Nothobranchius furzeri: one gene and its partner. The protein of the gene in region 2 purifies or fractionates together with the protein of the main gene of each other region. This does not show direct contact. Links are inferred from orthologs where the notes say so. Each region holds a gene or a part of one and is shown on either strand. Other genes may lie near its edges.

The links.
Region 1: the proteins of nherf1b (region 2) and phlpp2 purify together in Homo sapiens (co-immunoprecipitation; 3 studies listed by BioGRID and IntAct, with this or other methods). This does not show direct contact. The link is inferred for Nothobranchius furzeri from reciprocal best matches to the Homo sapiens genes NHERF1 and PHLPP2.

What each region holds. Positions count from the first base shown.
Region 1 is NC_091749.1:59,328,005-59,331,824, reverse strand, and holds part of phlpp2 (PH domain leucine-rich repeat-containing protein phosphatase 2), read left to right. Parts: intron 1-305; coding exon 306-452; intron 453-1,659; coding exon 1,660-1,890; intron 1,891-2,959; coding exon 2,960-3,162; intron 3,163-3,312; coding exon 3,313-3,373; intron 3,374-3,820. UniProt on the Homo sapiens protein: Protein phosphatase involved in regulation of Akt and PKC signaling.
Region 2 is NC_091752.1:50,771,103-50,775,524, reverse strand, and holds the start of nherf1b (Na(+)/H(+) exchange regulatory cofactor NHE-RF1), read right to left. Parts: upstream 3,098-4,422; 5' UTR 2,958-3,097; coding exon 2,307-2,957; intron 1-2,306. UniProt on the Homo sapiens protein: Scaffold protein that connects plasma membrane proteins with members of the ezrin/moesin/radixin family and thereby helps to link them to the actin cytoskeleton and to regulate their surface expression. Necessary for recycling of internalized ADRB2.

The DNA of each region.
Region 1 (3,820 bases), on a different chromosome or scaffold from region 2:
TCCAATTATTTTCTAATTCAGTGATATTTAGTTGTGCTATATGAACCATTCTAAGTTTACATATTGTTCTCTATAAAAATAATTGTCTTTATCACTAATCTTTTTAATAACACATTCAGTCATGAACTTTGCATGATTTAATACAGAATAGAAGGTCTTTATCCTTATGCACACATAAGCATTCATTTATTTCCCTCTCTTGTTTTGTAACATTGCATCCTCGTGAAGCTTATCAAGCAATGATTAGTCCAAATCCAACAAGAACAATGGAATGAAGGAAGTGATTTTTTTCTTTCTTTCTTTAGGTTTTGTCAGCTGAAAAGTCTGAACATATCTCACAACCGTCTTGGTGTGTTTCCTGAGTGTGTGTGTGAGATCCTCACGCTGACTGAACTGAACCTCTCCTGTAATAATCTGCACACCATCCCCATGCAGATTGGCAACCTCCAGAGGTGTGACACACACACACACACACACACACGCACGCACACACACGCACGCACGCACACACACACACACGCACGCACACGCACACGCACGCACGCACGCACACACACGCACACACGCGCACGCACACACACACACACACACACACACACACACACACACACACTCACACACACACACACACACACACACACACACACACACACACACACACACACACACACACACACACACACAGAAAGCGAATCTGAAAAATATGAACCATTTCTTTTTTCTATGTTGTTAAAAAACAGAGAATGTCTCGACTATAGCAGAAGCTAACCCTTTGCATTAGAAACTCCACCACATGGCAGAACTCCTCCGTGCTTCTGTTATTTGTGGAGATTTTGTATATGTTCTTAGCAGACGCTTTTACCCAAAGCGACTTACAATTTTTTTTTTTAACTATACGGCATGTTGTGATCTGTGGGGGAAACTGGAGTACCCGGAGAAAACCCACGCATGCATGGGGAGAACACGCAACTCCACGCAGAATGGCGAGTTTTGAACCTGCGACCTTCGTGCTGCGAGGCAACAGTGCTAACCACTGCGCCACCATGCAGAGATAAAACATAATGTCAATTCAAGTTTATTTATATAGCGCCAAATTATGACAAGAGTCGTCTCAAGGCACTTCGCACAGTAAACATTCCAAAACAGTTCAGTATCAGCATTGCAGAGCAAACAGTCTGTGGAAGATGCATTACTGTTATCCCATCAGAGACAACATGTCCAAAAATCAGGAAATAAGACTCCAAGTCCGGTCGCCTGAAGGTCAGCAGTGATGTGGCTCACTTCTAGTTCCTGAAAATGGTGCACCAGAGCTTTTTACCTCTGAATACAACTGACATGGCATTCATTTCTACTAGAGACCACTGCAAATGTATTGAACAAACGAGTGTTTCACACTTTGAAAAGTTACATGTAGCAATGAAAATAATTAGACACAAAAAGCAGTATTTTATATGACTTTATACATATTTTGAAGGGATTGTGAGTCTCATAATGTCCAGTTTGTATTGCACAGAATTGAAATGCATGAGGTTGCTGAATTAAAGAGACCTAATGTAAAATGCTACAAACTAAAACAACTATAACTGCACATAGGCACATGCTGACATACTGATTATGTTCTAAAAAGGCATTCTCTTTTCTTTCATGTTCACCTCGTAGCCTGCAGACGTTATCTTTGGATGGAAACCACCTGAGCTCGCTGCCTGAGGAACTTGGTGGCCTTCTTCAGCTCAACAGCCTGGGACTCTCCTTCAATAACTTCTGTCACATCCCCGCTGTGCTGGAGAGACTGAGCGCAGTGGACAAGCTGGCTATGGCTGGGAACCGGGTGGACAGCCTGGAGTTGTCCACCCTGGTTAGAATGAGCCACCTGAGAAACATCGACCTCCGGTAACTTTCCTCCTTCGCTTCCATCCCTCACTTTTACAGCCGTGCTATCGTAACAGCATCGACCGGTGCATTGTTGTTTGTCATTTTGTGATTTTGAAACCAGCCGATGGATGGAAAACTTATTGCTGTCCTCTATGAGGTTTCTCTTTTTTACTTTGATTTTCCAAACCCTGACAGGAAAATGAATGTCCTGTCAAAATCTCCAGCCTGCACCTCCACCGTTTCTGCATTCCTTAACTCTCCTCTGAGCTTGTTTAATTTTTTAATCCATTCATAGACACCAGATGTTCTATGACCAAATGCTGTTTAGTGCATTGTTCTATTTCACACCTGGGAACTGCCATCTGTGAGCTCATTCGTACTCCTGCTGCTCTGGAGGTGAAACCAATGACCACTACTTTGACAGATACTAATCCTCCTTTGAGAGTTACGTTGTGGTTTGGTGAAAGCAGCTTGTATTTATAAGGACAAGGTGCATCTGTGATGGATTGGTGGGCTGGCAGTTCCCATAAAAGAGAAGCTGTTTTTAATTGACATGAGTTATGGGATGACAAAGAGCCTTGATCTCTGTCAGTGGAGATTCTCAGCCGCTACATTATGACCGCTTAGCTGAAATAAAGCCACTAAAACAGCTCTGACCACCTTTCAACCCAGTGACTTGTCGGGTGGGATCTCTTAGGGATTTGGCCTCGTTTCCCCATGAATCTGATCAATCGAGAAGAGGCTTTGTAAGAAATTGAATTATCTTTTGTCAGAGGATGAGGATGCTATATCCAGCAGAGCATTGAGCTGCTTTCTCTTCATGCATGAGTGCAACACGTTTGTTTGTGCACTGTAAAAAAAAAAAAAAAAAAAAAAAAAAAAAAATATATATATATATATATATATATATATATATATATATATATATATAAACATAGATTTTACGGTTAAATCTCGGTAGCTGACTTAACCGTAGTTCCATGGTAAAATAACGGGTGACACACAAAACATATACTTATTTCCAATTAAGTTACCCTATAATAAATTGTCTTTGCCTATTTGTTTGTGTTCTGCCTTTTAAATGTAGCCTGAATGGGCTTCGGTGGCTTAAAAGCGAGAACACTGAGCCGGTGAGCCAGGTGACCCAGATGGACCTAAGGGACAATTGTCTGGACACACTCGACTTGAGCTCCGTCTGCAACTTGGAGACTCTGCACTGCCAGCGAAACCAGCTGGGGACACTCACACTCAGCGGTTTCACACTGCGCTTGCTTCAAGCTAGCAGCAACCGTGAGTCAAACACATCAGCTAGCTTCTGTTATCACTTCATTGGCTGATTACCTCAAAGTTTCTCTCTGTTATAACTTTCAGTTACTGAGTTTATTTAACGTAAACAAAAAAAAAACTGTTCAAACGTAGCATCGGTTTATTATTTTTCAGGCCTTACAACAGTCAACGTCTATCCAGTCCCAAACCAGCTGACACACATGGACGTTTCACAGTGAGTTCTGACTGGGAATAAGAAATGCTCTCTCATTTTTTAACCCTCCCACTGTCTTTTTGGGTGACCCCGCGAGGAAAGGTGACCATTGAGCAGGATTGATGGTTTATCCCTTGAGGTCCACGTGGCAGGGTTGAGGGGGTGCTCACTCCTCACCCCTGCCACATGGAGCCAAGGGATAAACCATCAACCCTCCTCAATGGTCAACTTTCCTCACGGAGTCACCCCCATTAGGACAGTGGGATGGTTAAAGGGAAGCCCTGTGTTTAAAACTAAGGGACTTTTCTTATTTTTTTGTTTAAATATAGAATTGAAAACATTGATGGGGAAAAATCTCAGCCCCCTTTTCATTTAGACAATCTGCCTTAAAGATGGGGAACACTGAAAAAACATATTTTAATTATTATTTCTGATAACAATAGGTCACAGTTTTTCATGCAAGTTGAA
Region 2 (4,422 bases):
TCAATGGAAACCTGCTGTTAAATTCCATATTTAAAACACGAAACAGACTTTTTAGGGATTGCAATATGGTCTCCACAACACTTGCCCTGCGGGATTGTGCGTGCCGGCATGAATCGACAGCTCCACCGGGCCATCTGTGGACAGTATCGAGAGTAAACACAAGAACAATTGCTGTGTATCCCCAGGACAAACAACACAACCCAGCAGCTCTCAAGAGCTGCGTGCAAACACGCGTGGGCTGCAGCTATTTCCATGTGAAGAGGAATAGGAAAAAAAATCCCTTAAATACCAGAAACGTGATTCCAAATCTAGCTGCTCGCACTGAGAAAAGCTAAAGCTGTCATTACATTGTTGTTGTGAAGGATGGATGTGAAGAAGCAGCGAGTGCCCTCTACTTCAAAGCATCACTTCATAAAGATGAATGCTAAATGTCAGCGGTTTCTGTGTCTTAAATTGCTTTTTATGAGCTTTTAACAGTTGGGTGAGGAGGAAAAAGTTGTTTGAGGAAGAAACTAAGAAATATTTGGAGGAATTTCTGAAGCGTTTAAAAGTAACTAACTACCCAAAATGTCAGCATAAGCTTTGTAATAACACAAGATTAGGCAAAATGTCACCATTTTCATGTAAAAACATAAATATGTGTTTAAAGCAACTAGATTAAAAGTAATGTTAAAGTTGCTGCCAGTGGCTCATTAAGGTCAAGAGAAAACAAGATGACAGAAATGTCTACGTTTGATGTATGCTTTGTGTATGTACTAATTTTTAACAAAACTTAATAAAAGCTGCTTTCTTCCTACTCAAAAAAGTGCTTATTTGTAACTAAATATCTAAATTCAACTGTAACACGGATAATCATGACCTCTCTGACCTCCTCAGCTTTAAAGAGGTATAAATCAATGCCTTAGGAATCGTTCTCAATGGAAAAAAAGCTCTGGCGCTTCAGTTTCAGGAAGTAGAAGTTAGTCGGAGGAATGGGGGCATAAAACGGCAGGATTTGGAGACTTACTCGTTATTCATGATTTTTGGACACCTCACCTCTGATTGGCTAAGAGCAACGCGACTCTTCCACCGACTGTTTGCTCTGCAACGTTTTTCTTCTACAAATAACACAAGCCTGGAGGAGTTCTACCGTGCTGCCGAGTTGCTTATGCTAACGGTTAGCTACTACTAGCCAAGACCTGCTCTGCTCTCTCCTGAATCAACAAAAGTCTTCCCTGTCACGAGCCAAGATGGGGGAGTCCAAGTCTGACTTTTCTAATACGAGACTTTCCTCGTCTATTTACTCTCCACGGCAAAGACTGTTTTCACATTCAGCCTGCAAGTGAAATTCAGAACAACTGATCATATCTTAAAAATAAAAATAACAAGAAAAAATAGTTTCTCAGTGAACTTGGTCTTTAAGATAGAATGGAAGGAGAGGATCAAAAGTGGGGATGATTACCTTTCTGTGTGAACCAAGCCAAAGCAGAAATAGGATTGTATAAAAACACTTAAAAGAAGCCCAGCAGGTTCTGGTTCTGCCCTTTTGTGATATCTGCTGTCTCACACGCTCCTTCTACCCGTCTCACTGGGAGGACATGTGTTGGACTCAGACAGAAACAGCCTCAGGGGTAAACATCCAGAACACGCAAGGCGGCGCAGCAAGAGGCACAGATGTCCCTGACCGGAGCGTCTTCCTCAAGTGGTTTGAATGAATTTAAACACACACACACACACACACACACAAGTGTGACCAGAGAAAATAAGAGCAGACAACTGAGTGAAGCCCACCCCATAATGTTCCAAGATGAAAGGCTGAAAAACAAATCCCATAACGGGATCTCACTAGTGGGAATAAAACAAGACACCAGACTATTTCCTGCTGTTTGTAGTGGAGGCTTTAGTTATTTGATGTAGTTTGTTTTCACTGCCTAAGCCTGAACCTGCAGGCTGACGACAGAACGATAAACACAGATGTGTCTGTGGCCAGAATGTTCTGGTGTTGTTTGAGGCCATCAGACCCGAGCCTGAACCTCTCACCCAGCAGCCTGGTCAATAGATCAGCTGACGTTCGTCCTCTTTAACGTTATCTGTCATGTTTGTTCATTCTTTGGCCATTAACAAAAAGGAAACACAGAACCTAGAGAGAGCTAGCTCCTCTGAGCTCTACCAGCTGGGTATCGGCCATTGATCCACATCGGTGGACCTGTGGACATGAGACTGAGGTTGTCTTTGTCACTGAGGACCTATTCTCCTCAGGAGGACATGTCTAAGAGGAAGAGACACCAGGACGGGACATGATGAAACTTTTCCAGAACTCAACTCACCTTCTCAGAGCTGATGCTCAGCATCTCCTCCACGTGTCCGAGGATCTCCCCGTTCCTCTCTGGGACGGGGGTCAGCTCCCTGGGTGTCTCCGCCTGCTCCTCCTCCTCCTCCTCCTCCACCACCACCACCTCATCCTCCTCCTCTTCTTCTACTTCTCCTTGAACTTTCACCTCCTCCAGCCTCGCGTTCCCGTTTTCAGTCCCGTCCACCTCTACGTCCTCCTTCACCAATATCACCTCCTCCTCTCCGTCTTTCTTCTCCTCGTCCTCCTGCGTCTCCTCCTCCTCTCCGTTGTCCTCGAACGGTAACGGGAGACCATCGGAGACGAACTCCTTCAGGCACTTTAGGTTGTGTTTCTTCAGCAGCAGGTCCGTGTCCGGGTCCACCACCAGCAGCTCCAGTCGGCCCGCCGTGGCTCGGATCCGGGACACGACCTGCTGGTGGCTCTCGGTCTCCACGTCCTCACCGTTGACGAAAACGAGTCGGTCTCCTGCGCGGAGACCCGAGGACTCTGCCGGGCTGTCCGGCTCCACCAGGCGGATGAACTGGCCCGTCTTGCCCTTCTCTCCGTGCAGGTGGAAGCCGTAGCCGTTGTCGCCCTTCAGCAGCGAGCACAGCCGCGGCCGCAGATGCTGCTTCTTACTCGGCATGTTCGCTGCTGCTGCCGCTCTACCTGTTGCTCGGTCTCACTGGGAACGACTGGAGGCTCTGGGCAGGATGCTGGGGAGGACGGAGGGTGTGCCAGAATGAGTGAAAAACAACACCCAACCCCGTCCCGCTCTGATGTAACCCTCCTCCTCCGGGTGGCTCCAGAGTCCTGACCCGCGTGCAGAACTCACCCTGAGGAAGGAGGAGGTGCGTTCAGGGACCGGTGCATGAAGGACGAGTAAACCAACCGGGACAGAACACCAAGTGGAAATACCAGTTTATTATAATTATTTATAGTTTGTTATCATTTAACAGATCCTACTGTGATACCTAAAGGGAGTTTCTGGCCATTTTGAGGTTTCGGTGTAAAAGCAAATAGCCTCACTCAGCAGAAACAGGGTTTGATGGTGCGTTCGATGTATCTTCGGAACTCGGAAATCCCAACTTCCTAGTTGGAAAATTGTAACCCCCCCCCCCCCCCCCCCCCAAAAAAAGTCGGACCTCGCAGTCAGAAACTCGGAGGAATTTCAGAATTCCGAACTCGACAACAAAAATGGCAGCTCTTCTTATCAACAACAGTAACTTTTGGGTGAAATGTGTTTATTTAACAGAACACACATAGTTTAAAACCAATATTAAATGTAGTGTTTGCAACTCTAAGCTTAACATACTAAAAGTTTTGTTTGCGTGTTAAACGCAAATCTTAAAACCATGCTATTAAGAGGAGTATACAAACAATTACTACTTGGGAGGTGTGCGTCGCCAATATTGGAATCCTGACATCGCTGACTACAGTAACCAGAACGCAGTTAACTCAGGTGTGTCACCATTCCCAGTTCCAAATTCAGACTTCAGAGGTAAACTGAACGCACCACTAGTTCCAGGAATAAAGGTGGATGCTGCTGCTTTATAGGGCATGTTATGAAAAACTCACCATTTGCTTCCTTTTAGGCTGTGTGGTCTCTACTGCCTCTATAAACACTCCAAACGTGGAAAAAATCCTTCCGAGCGTTTTCTGCCAGTGTTTGATTTTAGAAATAATTTGCCTAAAACAAGCTGTTTTGAAAATTACGAAAACCATCTTTCACATGCAAGAAAGACCCATTGCTGGAGGAGTAGCGGCTCTACTCCAAGCCCCATCCAGATGGAGCTTCTCAGCTTATAGCAGCCTGAGCAGGGGTGGCCAGTTCTAGCTTGTTTTCTTAAAGTGACAAAGCCCTGAAACAGACCCTGTGCTTGATAGCAAACGCTTTTGATTAATGAACTCTGGAGAGCTGTGGTACTTCCTCTCCCCTTCACAATGATGTCAGCATGGATGCATGCAGTGAACAGTACACTTTCCAGATCCCTTGGGAATTTGCCAAGAATTTCAGTCGATGACAATTATCGTATTGTCGACACTTTTTCATCTGCTCCATAAAGCAAACAAGAAAAGGGATTCAAATTGTACATATTCCAGTTTGTGCA